4 linked regions of the Caenorhabditis elegans genome follow. The protein of the gene in region 4 purifies or fractionates together with the protein of the main gene of each other region. This does not show direct contact. Each region holds a gene or a part of one and is shown on either strand. Other genes may lie near its edges.

Evidence for each region.
Region 1: the proteins of B0222.5 (region 4) and F42A10.5 fractionate together in Caenorhabditis elegans (co-fractionation; one large-scale study listed by BioGRID). This does not show direct contact.
Region 2: the proteins of B0222.5 (region 4) and Y94H6A.2 fractionate together in Caenorhabditis elegans (co-fractionation; one large-scale study listed by BioGRID). This does not show direct contact.
Region 3: the proteins of B0222.5 (region 4) and txdc-17 fractionate together in Caenorhabditis elegans (co-fractionation; one large-scale study listed by BioGRID). This does not show direct contact.

Annotation. Positions count from the first base shown.
Region 1 is NC_003281.10:6,170,680-6,174,700, forward strand, and holds F42A10.5 (Protein CDV3 homolog), read right to left. Parts: upstream 2,122-4,021; 5' UTR 2,093-2,121; coding exon 1,869-2,092; intron 1,819-1,868; coding exon 1,356-1,818; intron 1,255-1,355; coding exon 1,123-1,254; 3' UTR 543-1,122; downstream 1-542. Other genes in the region: F42A10.9 (Gamma-glutamylcyclotransferase family protein), read left to right, coding at 1-113, 404-446; abcf-3 (ABC transporter domain-containing protein), read left to right, coding at 2,947-3,765, 3,905-4,021.
Region 2 is NC_003282.8:2,728,677-2,732,958, forward strand, and holds Y94H6A.2 (DUF4781 domain-containing protein), read left to right. Parts: upstream 1-1,615; coding exon 1,616-1,622; intron 1,623-1,677; coding exon 1,678-1,961; intron 1,962-2,077; coding exon 2,078-2,203; intron 2,204-2,259; coding exon 2,260-2,388; intron 2,389-2,435; coding exon 2,436-2,680; intron 2,681-3,225; coding exon 3,226-3,441; intron 3,442-3,493; coding exon 3,494-3,728; 3' UTR 3,729-3,746; downstream 3,747-4,282.
Region 3 is NC_003281.10:2,832,879-2,836,799, forward strand, and holds txdc-17 (Thioredoxin domain-containing protein 17), read left to right. Parts: upstream 1-1,784; coding exon 1,785-1,935; intron 1,936-2,163; coding exon 2,164-2,254; intron 2,255-3,083; coding exon 3,084-3,240; 3' UTR 3,241-3,383; downstream 3,384-3,921. Other genes in the region: Y71H2AM.29 (G_PROTEIN_RECEP_F1_2 domain-containing protein), read left to right, coding at 271-291, 654-905; josd-1 (ubiquitinyl hydrolase 1), read left to right, coding at 3,761-3,918.
Region 4 is NC_003283.11:9,151,799-9,156,533, reverse strand, and holds B0222.5 (BPTI/Kunitz inhibitor domain-containing protein), read left to right. Parts: upstream 1-1,661; 5' UTR 1,662-1,664; coding exon 1,665-1,744; intron 1,745-1,984; coding exon 1,985-2,043; intron 2,044-2,087; coding exon 2,088-2,204; intron 2,205-2,262; coding exon 2,263-2,346; intron 2,347-2,388; coding exon 2,389-2,520; intron 2,521-2,565; coding exon 2,566-2,711; intron 2,712-2,760; coding exon 2,761-2,872; intron 2,873-3,094; coding exon 3,095-3,187; intron 3,188-3,474; coding exon 3,475-3,588; intron 3,589-3,631; coding exon 3,632-3,804; 3' UTR 3,805-4,213; downstream 4,214-4,735. Other genes in the region: B0222.15 (Activin_recp domain-containing protein), read left to right, coding at 58-118, 779-919.

The sequences.
Region 1 (4,021 bases), on a different chromosome or scaffold from region 4:
ACTGCGTTTATCTATCTGCTGAAAAGCTGGCGCCCAGATCTACTTTCCACGTCATCCGAAATGATGACCAACTACTCAAGCCTCGGAGCTCATGGTAGACCTTATGTGGACAGGTAAGAGAAAAATGTGCCTTTTAAAACTAGAGTTAAATTAAATATTTCTTTGAAAAACAAATTCCAGTGATTTATTGAAAAATTACGCGCACGACTGGAATTTTCAGATACGTGCGCGCAAAAGAGATGCTTGACGATCTCGACGGCAGTTCGAACCTCTATCATGATATTTTGGGCGCTGAGAACCTGATCTACATCGAGTTGGCTCAGAGAAAAGCCGAGTTCGATTTGAAAAGTGGGGAAATTTACAAATAACTATTCAATGAACCTACATTTAATTTTTTTTGCAGCGAGAACCTAACCAACGAGAATGAAATGTACGAAGCAATGTGATCACCGAGTAACAGTTCCTCATCGTTATAATTTGAATAAATGAATAATAATCTGGGATTGAAAACACACATGCAAGATAACAAAGACGAGCACATTGGGAATGTATAAACGTTTATATGAAAAAGAAAAAAGGGAAACGAAAGAAAAAGACACCATGATTGAATCCGAAAGGGAATTGGGCAAAGAGAATATGATAGAGCACTTGTATAAATAGCACAAGTAGAAAAAGAGCAAAGTGCTCATGGGGAAAACATTTTGAAACTTTCTTTCGTTGAAACCGTAACCGACGACACGCGAAACAGGCGGATTTGAGATTTTTGGCGTGACACCGAAAATAGGAGACGACCTTCGAAATGCATAAGATTTCGAAAAAAGATACCAAAATTCGATTCACGTGAATTCTCAAACCACACCGTCCGCTGTCAACTACCCTATAAATTTCACGGGGTATTGTGGGTCGTTCAAGAATTGGTAGAGCAACAATAAAGAGTGAAGTGCGTTTAAGCACGAAATGATAAGAGAAATTTGGGACATAACAAGTTGATAGGGACGAAATTAATAATGTACTAAATTATGAGAATACTAACCAAAAAAAGGATATTATAGAATAAAGAAAAACAATGAATAAGGAAATGGGAACACAGAAAACAGAAGAATAAGAAAATAGTTGGGCCTATTATTGATTTTTCCTCAAATGTGGAGGAACGTACGATCCAGCCTTGGCAGCTCCCGAAGATGCTGGAGCAGCAGCTGCAGGGGCTGGTGCTGGCTCGTTACGCGCTGGAGCTGGATTGGCGGCGCTCATCATCTGAAACGTTGAATTTAGACATTTTCAAGAATAATAAAAATGATTTTTGATAGTTTTAAAACCTTGAAAACTTAGAGTAATTATTTTTCCTTGACACATACCTTGAGAGCTGCAAGAGCACTATCACGTCCACTTCCAGCAGTTGTCGGATACGATCTTGAAGACCCACTTGAAGATGGGCCCGAACTTCCTGGCCAAGCTCCACCGGATCCAGCTTTTACCCAACCTCCTGGTGATTTGCTCTCCTCTTTCTTATTCTTCTCAATTTTGCTTGCATCCGCTAATGATGGGAAGGCAGCGTCACTACCCATATCCAGATTTGCAGCAGCAGCTCTTGGTCTGTACGGAGCTCCTGGTCTTCTCATTGCAGGTGGCTTGTAAGCGGCAGCCATTGCTTTGTCACTGATCGTCACAGCTTGTTCCGGCTCCTCCGTCGCTTTCTTTTCACTGCTAACTTGTCCCCAAGTCTTTGTCTCATGAACCTCGCGATCTTCTGGTTCTTCGTTATTTACTTGATCTTGTTCACTTTCAAGACCCATATCTTTGATTTTCAGACCATCTAGTCTGCAATAAATGAGATATTTAAATGAAATCGGAGCGAATAATCTACTAACCTTCCTTGACTTTCTCCGTATTCAATCCATTCACTTTCTTCGTTAGGATTCACGGCCTTCTCCTCTTCTACCCGCTTTTCAGAAACATCCTCCGACTCTTGCTCATACTCCTCTTGACGCTTGGCTCTTCGTTCGAGTGCTTGACCGACTTCTTCGATTTTAACGGCGGACTTCTTTTTCTTGTCTTTCTTTTTAGCAAAGAAAGCGCTCAAATCGTCACTCATTTTGTGTTGTTGTGAAAAGCGAGTCGGAACTGAAACGTGGAACATTTAGAGAGTAAAATTATTTTGAACGGCCTAAAATGAAACGACAATAGCACAGTTTTCTAATATAGTGAAGTTCAAATAACGAATATGACATGTAAAGTTACTGTGCACAAAGAACAAATGATAGGAAGTGGCAAACTAGCTGGAATTTACTGAAAATGAGAAGAAAACGCGACGCAACACGTCACGCGCGTATCAGAGATTCATTGCAGTTATTTGGCAGAAGGCTGTCTTGACAATAATGAATTTGCTAATTGGAATAGTTTAGGCTTTTGGAGCTTCTAAATATAACTAACAAAAAATGAACAAAACGTGTAAGTTGAAGAGAAATCCAGCTAAAAATTCAGTTTCGCAACAAAAAAAAGTTAGAGACTGCAAACGCGCCAGGACGATTACTGGCGTGTATGGCGATTTTGTTGACGCATATCTCGTTTTATTCAGTTTTCTCTCACATTTACAGTATTTTCGGATGAATAAATTGCTTTTGGTCGAGTTTATAGCAGTTTACATGTATTTATTAAATTAATATTTTAGTCATTTGGATAATGATACAGTTTCCACCACCCAATAAATAAAACCTTACTTTTTTAGGACTCGTAGTGTATGCTAGAGGAATCTCACTTGGTGGACGAGCTAACAGCTTCTTTCATCTCCGATCAAACGTATTATCTTCTTCTGATTCCAAGTCTCATTCCGGTTTTCATCGTCTTTCACTTTTTCAATTGGCTGGGTATGATACGAGAAACGCAACTTATTTACGAGTGTGTTATGAATTTTTTCCAGGTTACGAGTTCTTCTTGAACAATTAAATAATGGCAAATGTTGAAGCAATTCCTGGCTATCTCACGGCCACTTTTCCCACACTTCCAATTGAGATCAAAGACTATGTCTCTGCAATTCTCAAAGAGAATTCCGATGAGATCACATCTTTAGATGAAGTTATGGATGCCGTTGGTGAACATCTTCAAGCTTCCGTGGAAAATCTTTGCGAGGTTGGAGCTAAGAATGCTTGTCAACAACTTCTGAAACTACTTCACGGAGACAACCTTCCAAAGGCTATCAAACAACAGGAAGCAACTACGAAACGTCTCGAGCAAACTGTTGACATGGCTGCTGAAAATCAAAACTTTGAAGCTCTTCAAAGCATCTGGAAAGTACAAACAAGAGATACTCCAACTACCGTTGATAAGAAGAAACTTGCTAAGGCCGAAGATCGTGCTGCAGCGAAAGCAGAAGCTCGTGCAGATGCACCTGTTGAACGGAAGAAGAAGAAGAATGAGCCATCAGCAACGGCTTCCCAAGCTCCAATTCGTGACTCGGGTGCCCGTGGAGCCAACTCAAAGGATATCAAACTGGAAAGTGTGGATATTTCTATCGGTACGAAACAACTTCTCTCATGTGCCGATGTCACAATGGCATTTGGAAGACGATATGGATTGGTTGGAAGAAACGGAATCGGAAAAACGACGCTGCTTAAAATGATTTCAAGCCAACAGTTGAAGATCCCCGCAGGTATTTCAATGCTGTCTGTGGAACAGGAAGTGGAAGGAGATGATACACTCGTTTTGGATGCTGTTTTGATGTCAGATACGAAGAGACAAACACTTCTTGATAGGGAAAAGACGCTGCAAGTGAGATATTCAGAAAATGATATTAATATTCAATGAGAATAATATGACAAAAAAGTCTGATTTGAATTCATTCCATTCTTGAAATATATATTTTTAATTTGAACAAAAATTAATTCATTTTTCAAAATTAAAATTTCAGAGTCGTATAAACAAGGACAATATCAATGACGCCGAGAAAACCAAATGGAATGACGAGCTTTCAAAACTTTACATCGAAATGGAAGCTCTCCAACTTGACAAAGCTCCAGCACGGGCT
Region 2 (4,282 bases), on a different chromosome or scaffold from region 4:
ACATCTATCTTTCTGGCGACTGTGTCATTCAAGGCTTCTATGTCATTCAAACTACTGCCACAGTCATACCATGACAGAACTTTTTTGGATTTTTGTTTTCAAAGAATCTCTAGACCAAGAGCATTCTTTGAACTATAAAAACTTGTAAGATACTTGATGGGTTCCTCGAAAAAAAAAAAGTAAAAATCCCGCAGAATGCCGACTTGCGTGCCATCAAGAACGTGATCTCAAAAGTTCGGAAAGCCTGCAGCGATGCGGTTAGGGAAATTTTAAAAATTTTAAACGTTAATCTGGTCAGTATTTCATGGAGATCAAAATTTATACAAATTGATGTAATAACTCTCGCCACACGTGAAGTTACAGAGCTGCAAACGTGTTACCATACTTATGGCGCAGAAGAAAAATCAATCAACAATAACTTTATTTAGGATACACCTGCAAATATCCAAAACGATTTACGATCATAGTTTTTTCCCAAAAAAGTCTTTTCGAAAAATCCCTCAATCAAGGCGCCGGGTCTTTTTGAATACTCATTTAAGTACCAGTTCACCGGTCCGAAAAAGATAGTAGTGTTGCGCCGAATGATCAACACAAGTCCACATTCATCGCCGAACCGTTCGCAAAGCTTTTCCGCATAATCTCCTGGAGATTCTTCGAAGGATGCTCGATGCAACACCTCCACAGTCGTAGTAAGTACAGTGTACCGCATTTTCTATATTAGTCGCCACTACCATACTTTTATAATGTGTTTAACTGAAGACAATTAATGTTAATGTTAATGCAATATGAACTAATACGGAAAATACGGTATTTATTTAAAGAAAACACCATTAATTAATTTAAATCAATATTCAGCATTCATGACCTTCGTGAGTACGTGCGTGGTCTTCGCGAAACGTTCGGCGCCGAATGTGGCTTTGTGGGGATTATTCGAAAACATAGAAACATTCGCAAACGTTGGGTAAACTGTGACCCAGACGATTATCCCAGAGGACCCGGTGACTGTATTGAGAGATGTTTCAAGGGCAATGGTTCTGACTTTTTTTTTGGTAGTGGCGACTTTTTTCAGTACTGGTACGGTCAAAAGTTTGAGATAATTGCTGGTGTTCGATGAATATTTGTAGTTTTTATTCAAAACCGTTCCATTGTAATAAAAACTACGACATTTTATCTTTTTGCGATTTCTTTTTTTTTAAATAAATATTTTATCTAATACCTTCAAGGAAAACTAATGTATCTTTTACATGTTTTTTGTGAATAAATCTTTTCTTTCTTTTAAAATCTTTTAAAAAAATCAGAATTTATAGTTTAGTTCTTTAGTTCGGAACTCACTTACTATGCCAAAAATCGTGTTCCCTAAATGAGTCACTTGGTACTATTGACATATTTGAGTATTTTCAACACATAATTTTCTTTGACATTTTTGCCCTTTCCGAATTTTTATGAGGAAGACGCTAGCATTCCTGATAAAGAAAATGTCAGTATTCCTCATACTTAGTTCCACAAGAAAAATGGCATGCGTGTAATGTGTAGCACTAGAGTATAAAACAAGAACAGAGAAAAGAAAGATAAGACATCATTGCTTTTCTATTTGGAGACAGTTATATATTTCAAGATGGCTGGTAAGATTCTATTTTTAAAATAATATGAAATTGAATCGAATTCTCAATTTTCCAGCTGTAAACTACACGACGGGATTTATTTCGGTGGTCACTGGCTGCCTAGGAGTACATGGGGCTTATGCGTCCGCCGCAGTGGTTCCGCATTTAACTGCGATTTGTGCATGCGGTGCTATAGTTAGTGCATATGTTACGATGGCTGCATACAAAGATGACAAATCAACGGAGCTGATACTCAGCGAGCTCAAAACGCTCGACAAGAAGATTGGGGAACTGTCACATAAGATGGACGCGTTGTTCGGTGATCTTAAGTCATTTATAACAACGTCTCACTTTTACATGGTATGTTCGGAATAGATATTGGTTCAAAGTGTGGTTACGAAGCCTTCTGCGCAGGAAAAAAGTTAATCACGACCCTTTTTAACCTTCACCCTTTACCCTTACTCAAAATTTTGCAGAATGAGGTCGCTACAATCAAAACGTTGATGAAATACATGCAGGATACGATGAACAATCCTTGTAAATACACAAAAGAGCTATTTCGTGGCGCTGTGACGGATAATAAACCTTTGTGGATTGCAGAGGTAGGACTTATTAAGGAATCACAAGATTTCAATGTTAGACAGCTTCAAATTTCCAGCAAATGATTATAAAACTCGACCAGGAGGAAACGAATCCTCTCAAAATGGCAATGAACTGTGATCCTCTTCGACCAACGGAAACTTTTGAAAAATGGAGAAAAATAATCGACGGAGTGCTTGCCCAATGTGTAGGTACTCACTACATCCCTCACTAAATAAAGTGTATCATATTCAGCTGATTTTGGAGACGTACCAGAATGGAATGTTTTGCGATAAGAACATGATTGGACCGAGTCGTTTAAAGAAGCAAACCGAAGAATTACAACTGAAAATGAATAGATGGGCTGAAGAATACCGTCAAGATCACTCGTACTGGGACGATGGAGTCTTAAGTTTAATCCATAATGTGCAAGACAATAATGAGGGAAGTGAAAATATACGAAATATTTTGACTAAAGAATTGGGCAAGATCATGACAAAGTGAGTATTTTTGTAAATTGACAAGGGACATAAAAGGGTAATTGTGTATTATAACTTTACTTTTTTCAAATTAAATTATGACCGGGGTAGCAATTATTTTATCTGTTAAGTTATTTAAAACGTGAATAGTATTTCCATTATTAGGCTTACAAAGGAAGTATTCCAATTTAACCCCGGTCAATTTAGGCACTTTGAACTGGAAAGAAGTCGCTCTGAAAAATTTTCAATGCATTTTTCACGATTTTCGCAGCCCGTAAAATTCCTCCAAATGTTGATTTTTGCAGATTTCTGATGATTTCTAGGCTTTTGAGGGCCAACCAATTTTTTTCTGGAATTTTTTTAATTTGTGAAAAAATATAAAAGATTTTGGTCCCGAAAGACCAAAAAAGCCAAAAAATCTGCGTTTTCCGAAAATTTATTCAAAAAAAGACAGCCCTGCTGTGAACGTCAGTAATTTTTCTCACATCCACTTACAAATGTAACCATTTTTTGCACACCATATCGCAAACAGTCAGATTTCAAATTGATTTTCCAAAATATTTCAGCCACAAATTTTACGTGATCGTCTACGATTTCTGTGACGGTTCATCTGAGGAGTACCAATTCACTTCATACAGCTATTTCAAACGCAATTTTAAATCTTCTTTCAATCGAAACGGGTGCAATGCTTTTGTTTTACGAAGCCTCAGAACCCAAGATTGCAAAAGGCACGAGGAGAACCTTCAAAGAAAGCTGCAAGCTGCCCTTCCAATGGAATACGAGTTTGTATTTTGCGGCTTAATGGCATAACATTTGATCCAAACATTTTTTCAGCTACAGATTCAAATTGATTGATTATGCGGAAAAGCTTTGCAAACGGTTCGGCGATGAATGTGGACTTGTGTTGATCATTCGGCGCAACACTACTATCTTTTTCGGACCGGTGAACTGGTACTTAAATGAGTATTCAAAAAGACCCGGCGCCTTGATTGAGGGATTTTTCGAAAAGACTTTTTTGGGAAAAAACTATGATCGTAAATCGTTTTGGATATTTGCAGGTGTATCCTAAATAAAGTTATTGTTGATTGATTTTTCTTCTGCGCCATAAGTATGGTAACACGTTTGCAGCTCTGTAACTTCACGTGTGGCGAGAGTTATTACATCAATTTGTATAAATTTTGATCTCCATGAAATACTGACCAGATTAACGTTTAAAATTTTTAAAATTTCCCTAACCGCATCGCTGCAGGCTTTCCGAACTTTTGAGATCACGTTCTTGATGGCACGCAAGTCGGCATTCTGCGGGATTTTTACTTTTTTTTTTTCGAGGAACCCATCAAGTATCTTACAAGTTTTTATAGTTCAAAGAATGCTCTTGGTCTAGAGATTCTTTGAAAACAAAAATCCAAAAAAGTTCTGTCATGGTATGACTGTGGCAGTAGTTTGAATGACATAGAAGCCTTGAATGACACAGTCGCCAGAAAGATAGATGTGAGCGGCGGCAGCAGTATGCAGGAAAACTCATTTTAGTATTTTTCGGGGAACGTTTTGATCTGACTTTCAAGAATTTTAATAGAAGATTAAGCTCGGATGATTTTGTGGGTCGTTACACCTTGTGAAGAC
Region 3 (3,921 bases), on a different chromosome or scaffold from region 4:
TCGGTGCCTACCTACCTGCCTGCCTACAGGCGTAGGCAGGCATTTCTTCTGCTTCACGTTGTTTTTTTTTTCGTTAATTTTATTGATTTTTCTCCACTTTTCTTGTTGTTGTTGTTGTGCCGCGTGGCTGTTCTCATTTCTTTAAAATTTTACGTTTTTTTTTTCTCGAAATTTTGAAAATAGTTATCCCCCGTCCAATTTTCAATCATTTCTTTATTATTTTCTCCTGTTCTTCACACGTTTTTTGCACAAAAAGGAACGGGAAACAAAATGGTCGACGGATGTGCTGAGGTATGGCTTTTTTTTTACCGAAACCAACCTACCAGGCCCTAACTATCTGCCTGCAGGTACGCCGAACCAATAGGCGTTGGTCGCCTTGCAGGTGGGCAAATGTGATGTGATTGTTTTTTTTTAAATGTGATTTTATACCAACTTTCTAGTAGGCACGCTTGTAGGCGCCAGGTAGGCAACGATTTTTTCGTTTTTTTTTCCAAGTAAAAGTTAAGAAATACTAATTGATTTAATGGTAGGCACGCGAGTAGGCAGCCATTTTTCGCCAATTTTCCGTTTTTTTTTCGTATTTTCAAAAGCAAAAGGTTTAGGCATAAGGCAGGCGTAGGTAAAAACCCCCCGAAACCTCTTTTTTTTTGCAGAAATTCGAGCAAATGAGTTCATGGATTGTGCTGATTTCAATTGTTCCAATAACATTCAGCTTTATAACTGTCATTCTTTTGTGCTCATCTCTTCTAAAAGTGAAGAAAATGCGTGGAATTTGTGATGGAATCCATTCGAATGCTCATTGGTTGTCTAGAACTGCTGTTCGTGTTGGAATTGGAGCAACTGCCCGTGTTACAATCAATGAATATGCATCGACGAAGCCTGAGCTCAAGAGATTGCTTAAATAGATTACCTTGTTTTGAATGGAATAAATTATTGGGGATTTTTGAATTTTTTTATTAATTTTTTTTGTTGCTTTTTATCGGTTTTTGAAATTCCGAAGATTTTATTTACTTTATTATTTTTTTCTCTAAAATTTTCTAGAAAAAAAATTGAAATTTGATTTTTTAATTTTTTTTCGAAAATATGAATTTTGCCGCAAATTAATTCTAAATTTCGCAAAATTTTTCAGTGTTTCTAGAAATTTCTTATCGAAAAATTGAGAAAAAAAAACTATAAACTATTGAAAATATTTATTACGGGAACTCAAAATTTTGAGAATGCGTATTTCACAACATATTTGACGCGCAAAATATAACTATATCTCGTAGCGAAAACTACAGTAATCCTTTAAATGACTACTGTAGCTCGGTTGTGTCAATTTACGGGAACTCGATAAATAAATGATTCAACTCATTTAACAGAATCGAGATCCCGTAAATCGACACAACCGCGCGCTACAGTAGTCATTTAAAGGATTACTGTAGTTTTCGCTACGAGATATTTTGCGCGTCAAATATGTTGTGAAATACGCATTCTCAAAATTTTGAGTTCCCGTAATAAATATTTTCAATATTTTATAGTTTTTTTTTCTCAATTTTTCGATAAGAAATTCCTAAAAACACTGAAAATTTTGGGAAAATTAAAATTTTTCTTTCCAATTTTCAGAAAAAAATTTTAAAATTTGAATTTTGGAATATGGCTCAAAAATTTTGTGCAAAAGTGCAGAAAAAAAAATAAAATCCTATCATTTTTCGGGTTTTTTAAAGGATTTTCATGTCTCTTCCGAATATTTTTTTGTTGAAAATTTGTGGTAAATTTGAAAATTTCATGAATTTTTTCTCCAGATGACCGGACTGAAACACTACACTGCTCAGGGATACGAAGCATTTCAGGAGACACTGAAATCGATTGGAAAAGGAAAACGAGTCGTCGCTCTGTTCACTGGATCCAAAATTCTGACAACCGGAGAGTCTTGGTGCCCGGATTGTGTTGTTGGTACGAGATTTTGATGGCCTACCTACCTGCCTACCTACCCGCCTAGCTCATCCCCTGCGTACCTATCTGCTAACAGCCTCTGCCGCTTCTGTGCTTACCTACTCACCTATCTACAGTCTACATGCCTACCTACGGTGTGCCTGCCTTTGCCTACCGCATACCTATGCCTACCTACTGCTCACCTCACGCCTGCCTATAAATTAAAAAAATAATATATTTGAATTTCAGCTGAGCCAGTTGTCGAAGAAGTGATCAAGGACGCCGCCGTCGCCGGACTCGATGTCCATTTTGTCACTGTTTTCGTCGGAAATCGTGAAGTGTTCGTGGATTTTTGTAAAAAAAAATCGATAAAATTACGAAAAATCAATATTTTTTGGAAAAAATCAATAAAATTACGAAAAATCAATAAAATTATTAAAAAATCAAAAAATTATAAAAAATCAATAAAATTATAAAAATCAAATTTTTTTTGGAAAAAGTCGATAACATTACGAAAAATCAATTTTTTGAAAAAAAAAATCAATAAAAATATAAAAAATCAATAAAATTATAAAAAATCAATAAAATTATAAAAAATCAATGAAATTATAAAAAATCAATGAAATTATAAAAAATCAATTATTTTTAAATCAATAAAATTACGACAAATCATTTTTTTTTTTGGAAAAATTCATTTTTTTATAATTTTATTGATTTTTTCCAAAAAAAATCAATTTTTTTTAGAAAAAATCAATAAAATTATAAAAAATAAATTTTTTTAAAGAAAAAATCAATAAAATTATAAAAAATCAATTGTTTTTTAAAGAAACATCAATAAAATTATTTAAAAAAACCAATTTTTTAAAGAAAAAATCAATAAAATCATAAAAAAAATCAATTTTTTCTGGAAAAAATCAATAAAATTATAAAAAATCAATGAAATTATAAAAAATCAATTTTTTTTAAAAGAAAAAATCAATAAAATTATGAAAAATCTATAAAATTACGAAAAATCTATAAAATTATAAAAAATCAATTTTTTTGAAAAAAAAATCAATGAAATTACGAAATACTGTGTCAAAATTTTGAAAAATTCTCAAAGAAAAAATTTTCGGAAAAAATTATTTTGAAAAAAATTGCAAAAAATCTCTAAATTTCCAAATTTTCAGATGGCGTGACCCAGCTGTCGGATTCCGTACTGATCCAACACTCAAATTGACATGTATTCCGACACTTTTGGAAGTTGGAAACAAGGCAAAACGTCTTTTGGAGAGACAAATTGCCAATAAGCATCTCGTCAAGGACTTTTTCACTGAGGAAGACTAAATTATCGATTTTTTGGCTATTTATTGTGCTGAAAATTCCGCCATTTTGTTGTGATATTTAGACGATTTTTTGAATTGGGGTTATGGTTTTTGTTATTTAAAAAAAAAATTTTGTTCAGTTTATATAAAGGATTTGGTGATGGATTTTTTGATTTTTTGATTTTTTTTCAAAAAGAGGATGTGCCCTATTTTATGCTTAATTTTTTTTAATTGATTTTTGATTTTTTTTTGAATTAAAAAAAAGGAAAAATCGATATTTTGAATAAATTTTCTGAAAAATCAATACTAAATTCGAATTTCGATTTTCAAATAAAATTCGATTTTGTTTCGCACAAAAGTTAATAATTTAGTCATAGAAAATCGATAATTTTCATGAAATTTTTGAATAAAAATCAATATTTTATCGATTTTTTTCCAGAAGAAAATCGATAAACTGCAAAAAAAATATTTACGATTTCGACGACATTTTAAAAATAGAAAAAATTTCAGCATCCAATACCCCAATTAGATTTATATTCCAGATGACGTCATCACCAGAAATTTATCACGAAAAGCAACGTCTTCAATACTGCCTTATCCATACGGTTAACAATATTCTACAAAAATCCGAATTTGATCCGACAAAAATGGACGAAATTTGCTATGCGTTTAATGAGAGTAAATGGTTTAATCCACATAGGTA
Region 4 (4,735 bases):
TGGGTTGAAAGAAGAAAAAGAAAAGGCAGCAAGTTTATTGGAATTTTCATTTTGCAGAACGACAGAGCCAACTGGCGGAGCTACTTACGGATGTGATGACTTTACGCCGTTTTGCAAAGTGAGCGAACAAAACGAGTTTGAAATTGAAAGAACAAATGTGCAAAGTGAAAATCAGAAAAAAAATTGTCGAAAAGATTGAATGTGGCGCAGCCCTGGTGTAGATTTTCTGGAAATTAATTATAAAAACCATACTCATTGAAAGAGCAATGTCAACTTTAACAGAAAACAAATACTAGAAGCGGACAAAACCCATATGTAGCGGACAAAGCCCAATGCTACATACTGTAACTATGGAAAAATAACGGAATACACTTTCGCTTGTAGAAAATGAGTGGGGTCAATGCCGGTTTTATCTAAATGTATGTATTGTCAATTTGCCAAAAAATGACCAACAGTGAATAAAAATCACAATAAGGATTATTTAAACTTAAATTTAAAAACAGCGTATTTTTCTATCGTCTGACACTTAACAATGGTTCCGGTCTTTGAAAAAAATATTAGAAAAATACATTCCTATATGTTATACTTGAAGCTCGATTCCCGTATTGTTTCTCAAAAGTATAATTTATGATTCTTAGTGATAGAAATTCATTCTAGAACGTTTTGTTGTTTTCTTATTCTAAAAACTCGTGAGTAACGTTTTCTTCCAGTGATTTCCATAGAAACTTCTAGACTTTTCTATTCTTTTAATCTTTTCTCAATGTTTTCTTTTTTTCAGAAAGACGAATGCGTGGTCACTTCGAAACAAAGTAAAGTCTGTTGCTGTAATACTGATCTGTGTAACTCTTCTCCAATCACTTTCTGGCCTGTGTCTCTACTATTCTTCATTTTATTTTCTTATTTTATGTCTAGTTATTAGTTTGAACTTTATTTATTTAAAAAAATATTCCGACAAAAACGGGTTATTTTCTGATGATTCACTTCTTTTCCCGAATAAATGTTTTTTCAACTAAAGGTAATTCTGTTAGTCAAACCAAATTTATTGGTGTAAAAACGAATCCAAAGAGAATAAGAGAATGTACCAGTTTTATCGATTGATCATTGCATTCTAGTAGTTGACATAATATGATAAAAAGGAAGTAAACCTTTTTTTTCGTTTTTCGTCGAACAAAGATTCGTTCAGCAATTGATTCCTTTTCTTGTTCTCAACTAGCACTGATACTGCTTAGTTTTTTCTTTTGAAAAAAGATACTGTTTCAATTTTTAATCTTTCTTGATTTTTTGAATCTTCGGAGAGAAGAAAGAATATAACTTGGCTTTCATATCCTAAGAAAATTATTTTTTTCTCGAATTTTTCCTTTATTTGAAATATTTTTGTTAATGTTTCCAAATATTTGTGAACACTTTTTGATTCACCTATTTCATATGCACAGAATTTATGTACATAAAAATAACTTACATAAAATTTCATCGGCGAGTGATGAAAATAACCAAAAGCCAGTAATTCCCAAATACAATAGATCACTCAATGATCAACTCATAGCTCTTACTATTTTTTGTTCTCGAAAATCAAATAATGTTTGTTTCACTAACTAGTTATTATTTACCTTCATTCATTTCCTCGTTTCAATCATTCCTTCGAACGCAATTTTTTGATTTCCGGCATGCGAGCTTTCTGCATAATATTACTTGTTGGATTCACCCAAGTCAATGCTCTGTTTGGAGACAGATTATTACGAGCCAGGTTAGTTCTTTGGAACAAAAATTGTTAGGCACAATTTATGAAAAACCAATTTTGAAATAATTAGAACCCTAGTAAGTGAAAATATTTTTCAACAGTTCGGTGTCCACTATTAAAAAAATAACAGTTTTGTTTAAGAATTTTATATTAATAAAGTGTTGAAGCAACTGGTGGAAATTTTAATTTTTCAACATTACTTTGCTTATTTCAAATTTATTATAAAAATGTAATATTTTATTACAGAAACCCAAAAACTGGACCATGCACGTTGAATGATGATGGACTAAAATGCAATGAAAATGGTGATTCTAAACTTTAAATTATATTAATTTATTCATAATTTTAGGATACTATGAAACTGTACAATGTAACTCTGAATCATGTTATTGTGTTACTCCTCACACTGCACTTGTTGCATACGACACACGAACCAACAATCCGAAAACCGCGCCAAAATGTGGAAGTAAGTAGAGACCATTCAATTTCCTAAGTTTTCCCAAAAGTGACGTTTATCGTTTCAGCTTGCCTTGTTTACCTCCAAAAGCTGTTTGCCGACGGAGATCCTCCAGAAAATAGTTTCGTACCAAAATGTGACGTCGGAAAAGGTATGAAAAAATAATGCTAAAGATAAAATATAAGTATTTAAGGTGATTTTGAGCCTGTACAATGTGACAGTAAGAAGAACCAATGCTACTGCGTGGACACAAATACTGGAAGAGAAATACAAGGGACACGAAAACCATTGAGTAACACAACAAAGATGAATTGCATGCAAATTGGTAGTTCAAAATCATGAATAATTTAAAATAATTCGATAATTTCAGATTTCTCCATCGATTCGTCAGCATTCCCCGCTTTTGAAAAACCAGATCCTGCCAAACCGAAAAATGATCAACCGATTGGAAAACCATGGTGTGCAAGTAACAGAAATGCTGGACATACATGCAATCAAAATAAAACTTCGATAAGAGTAAGTTGATTTTAAACCTAATAAAAAATCGGGCAAATATTTTTTTTAGTACTGGTTTGACGTTGAAACCTTCCAATGTTTCCCATTCGAACACAAAGGCTGTGGTGGAAATCAGAACTCCTATAGAACAAGTAGTGAATGCTATTTTGACTGTGTCTTGCGTAAGTTATCCACGTATTGTTTTCATGAATATAAGTGACGTTCACCAAGGAAAATGATCACAAGTAGGCCTATGGTACCAAAAATTGTAAAATGTTTCATACATTTTTGACCCAAAAGTTTGAAAACTCTGAGCCCCTCATTGACGTATTCAATTTTTAACTCAAAAATTCAATTTTTAACTCAAAAATCAAATACGATAATTGAATGCAGTTTTATTTCAGAAGACTACTTCAGTTGTGCAATGCAATCACAACCAGCTAGAAAGTCGAATGGACAATGGTATTCTTGCCCAGAAGGCCCAGATGGTCCACCAGGTATGTTTTGAGATTGATGGTTTTTTAATAAAACTTTCGAACTTTCTACTGCATAAATAATATTTGAAAATTAGCTACAAATTTTTGTGGTGAAAAACGAAACTTACAATTCCGGTTTATAAAATGTTATTTTTTATTTCATTTAAAGGATCCTGTTTTTCGGATCTGAGCTGTTTAAACGTTAGAAATACAATGTTTTAAAAACGAGTATTAGTTAGTTTAAAACTTTATTAAAGTAATAATGAACATTAAAAAAACTAACTGAAATATTGCTTCATATTTTTCAGGCTTCAAGACTACTACAACTCCAGGCCCAAAACTAACCTCTGATGGTTGTCCAAAGGGATATATTTGTTCTATGGGAGCATTCTTTGGTATTTGCTGCGAGGAGAACTTGACAAGTAAGTAATCATATTAGCGACAACCAAAACACAAAGTTTCCAGATCGCTACCAAGCAGCATTCAAACCATTATGCAAAAACAAGAAAGAAGCTTTGCAAACGAAACAGGACGATTGGTCGAGTGCAATGCTCGGAAAATCATGTTCCGATAGATTCTGTCCAAGCAGTCATACTTGTGAACATAACGAGTTTTTTGCATATTGTTGTCCGCGTTAATATGTGTGTTTTGACGTTTGTTTTCTTGCCCATTCGAACCGCCCTTCAATTCACATTCTAATTCAGGTTGTAATAAATAAGAAAAAGTATTTGTAGTTCTTTTGTTTTTCACAATGATATGTAATGTATATTAAACGACCTTTCATCTCTTCTGTCCTTTTCTTCTGTGTTGGTTTTCCACCCAGACAAATTGCCGGCCCCCTACTTTAAACGTGTCTTCTCATAGCATTGATTATTGATGCCTATGTGATATCAATATCTTTTATATTCATTTTCCCTCCTAAAAGAAATATGTTCAGAAAACTGCACCGAAACAAAGTCTTCGACCATACTAGATACTTGTTGATTTCTGATAGTGTCCTGTTCACCCCATAAAAATGTGTTAAATGCAGCAAGCAACAAAGTATATTTGTGATTGAAATTTGATGCGAATAGAATTTAAAAATAGAGTGATCACAGTTCTAGCAGAAAACGAATTTTCACAAATGAATCGGAATGATGACTTGGTCTATTTGAATTCGCTCAATGTCTCCGCAGACATGATGTGTACCCAAAAATGACTTGATTGATGATTTCACAAATGTTCCAGTTTAGTTTCGTGCTTTATGTGGAATATGCTACAAAACGCTAAAATACGATAATCGAAGGCTTCAAAACTAAACTGCGGTGGACTTTTCTAGCTCGAAATATGCAACTGAAACAGTTGTTGGGCTATTCTTTGCTCAAGAAAAAATTATTACGGCACAACAACTGTAATTTTTTTTTCTAGAAAAAAATTCATTTGAAAAATGGACGCTGATGAAAAAGTTATTAAATGAGCCGCGTAACTACATTGAAAAAATGTTAAACGTATTTTCAGAAATTGTTTTGTTAAATTGTAGAAAGAAGAATAATCAAAAATAAAACTCATAGTCAGGTAACTTTTTTTTGA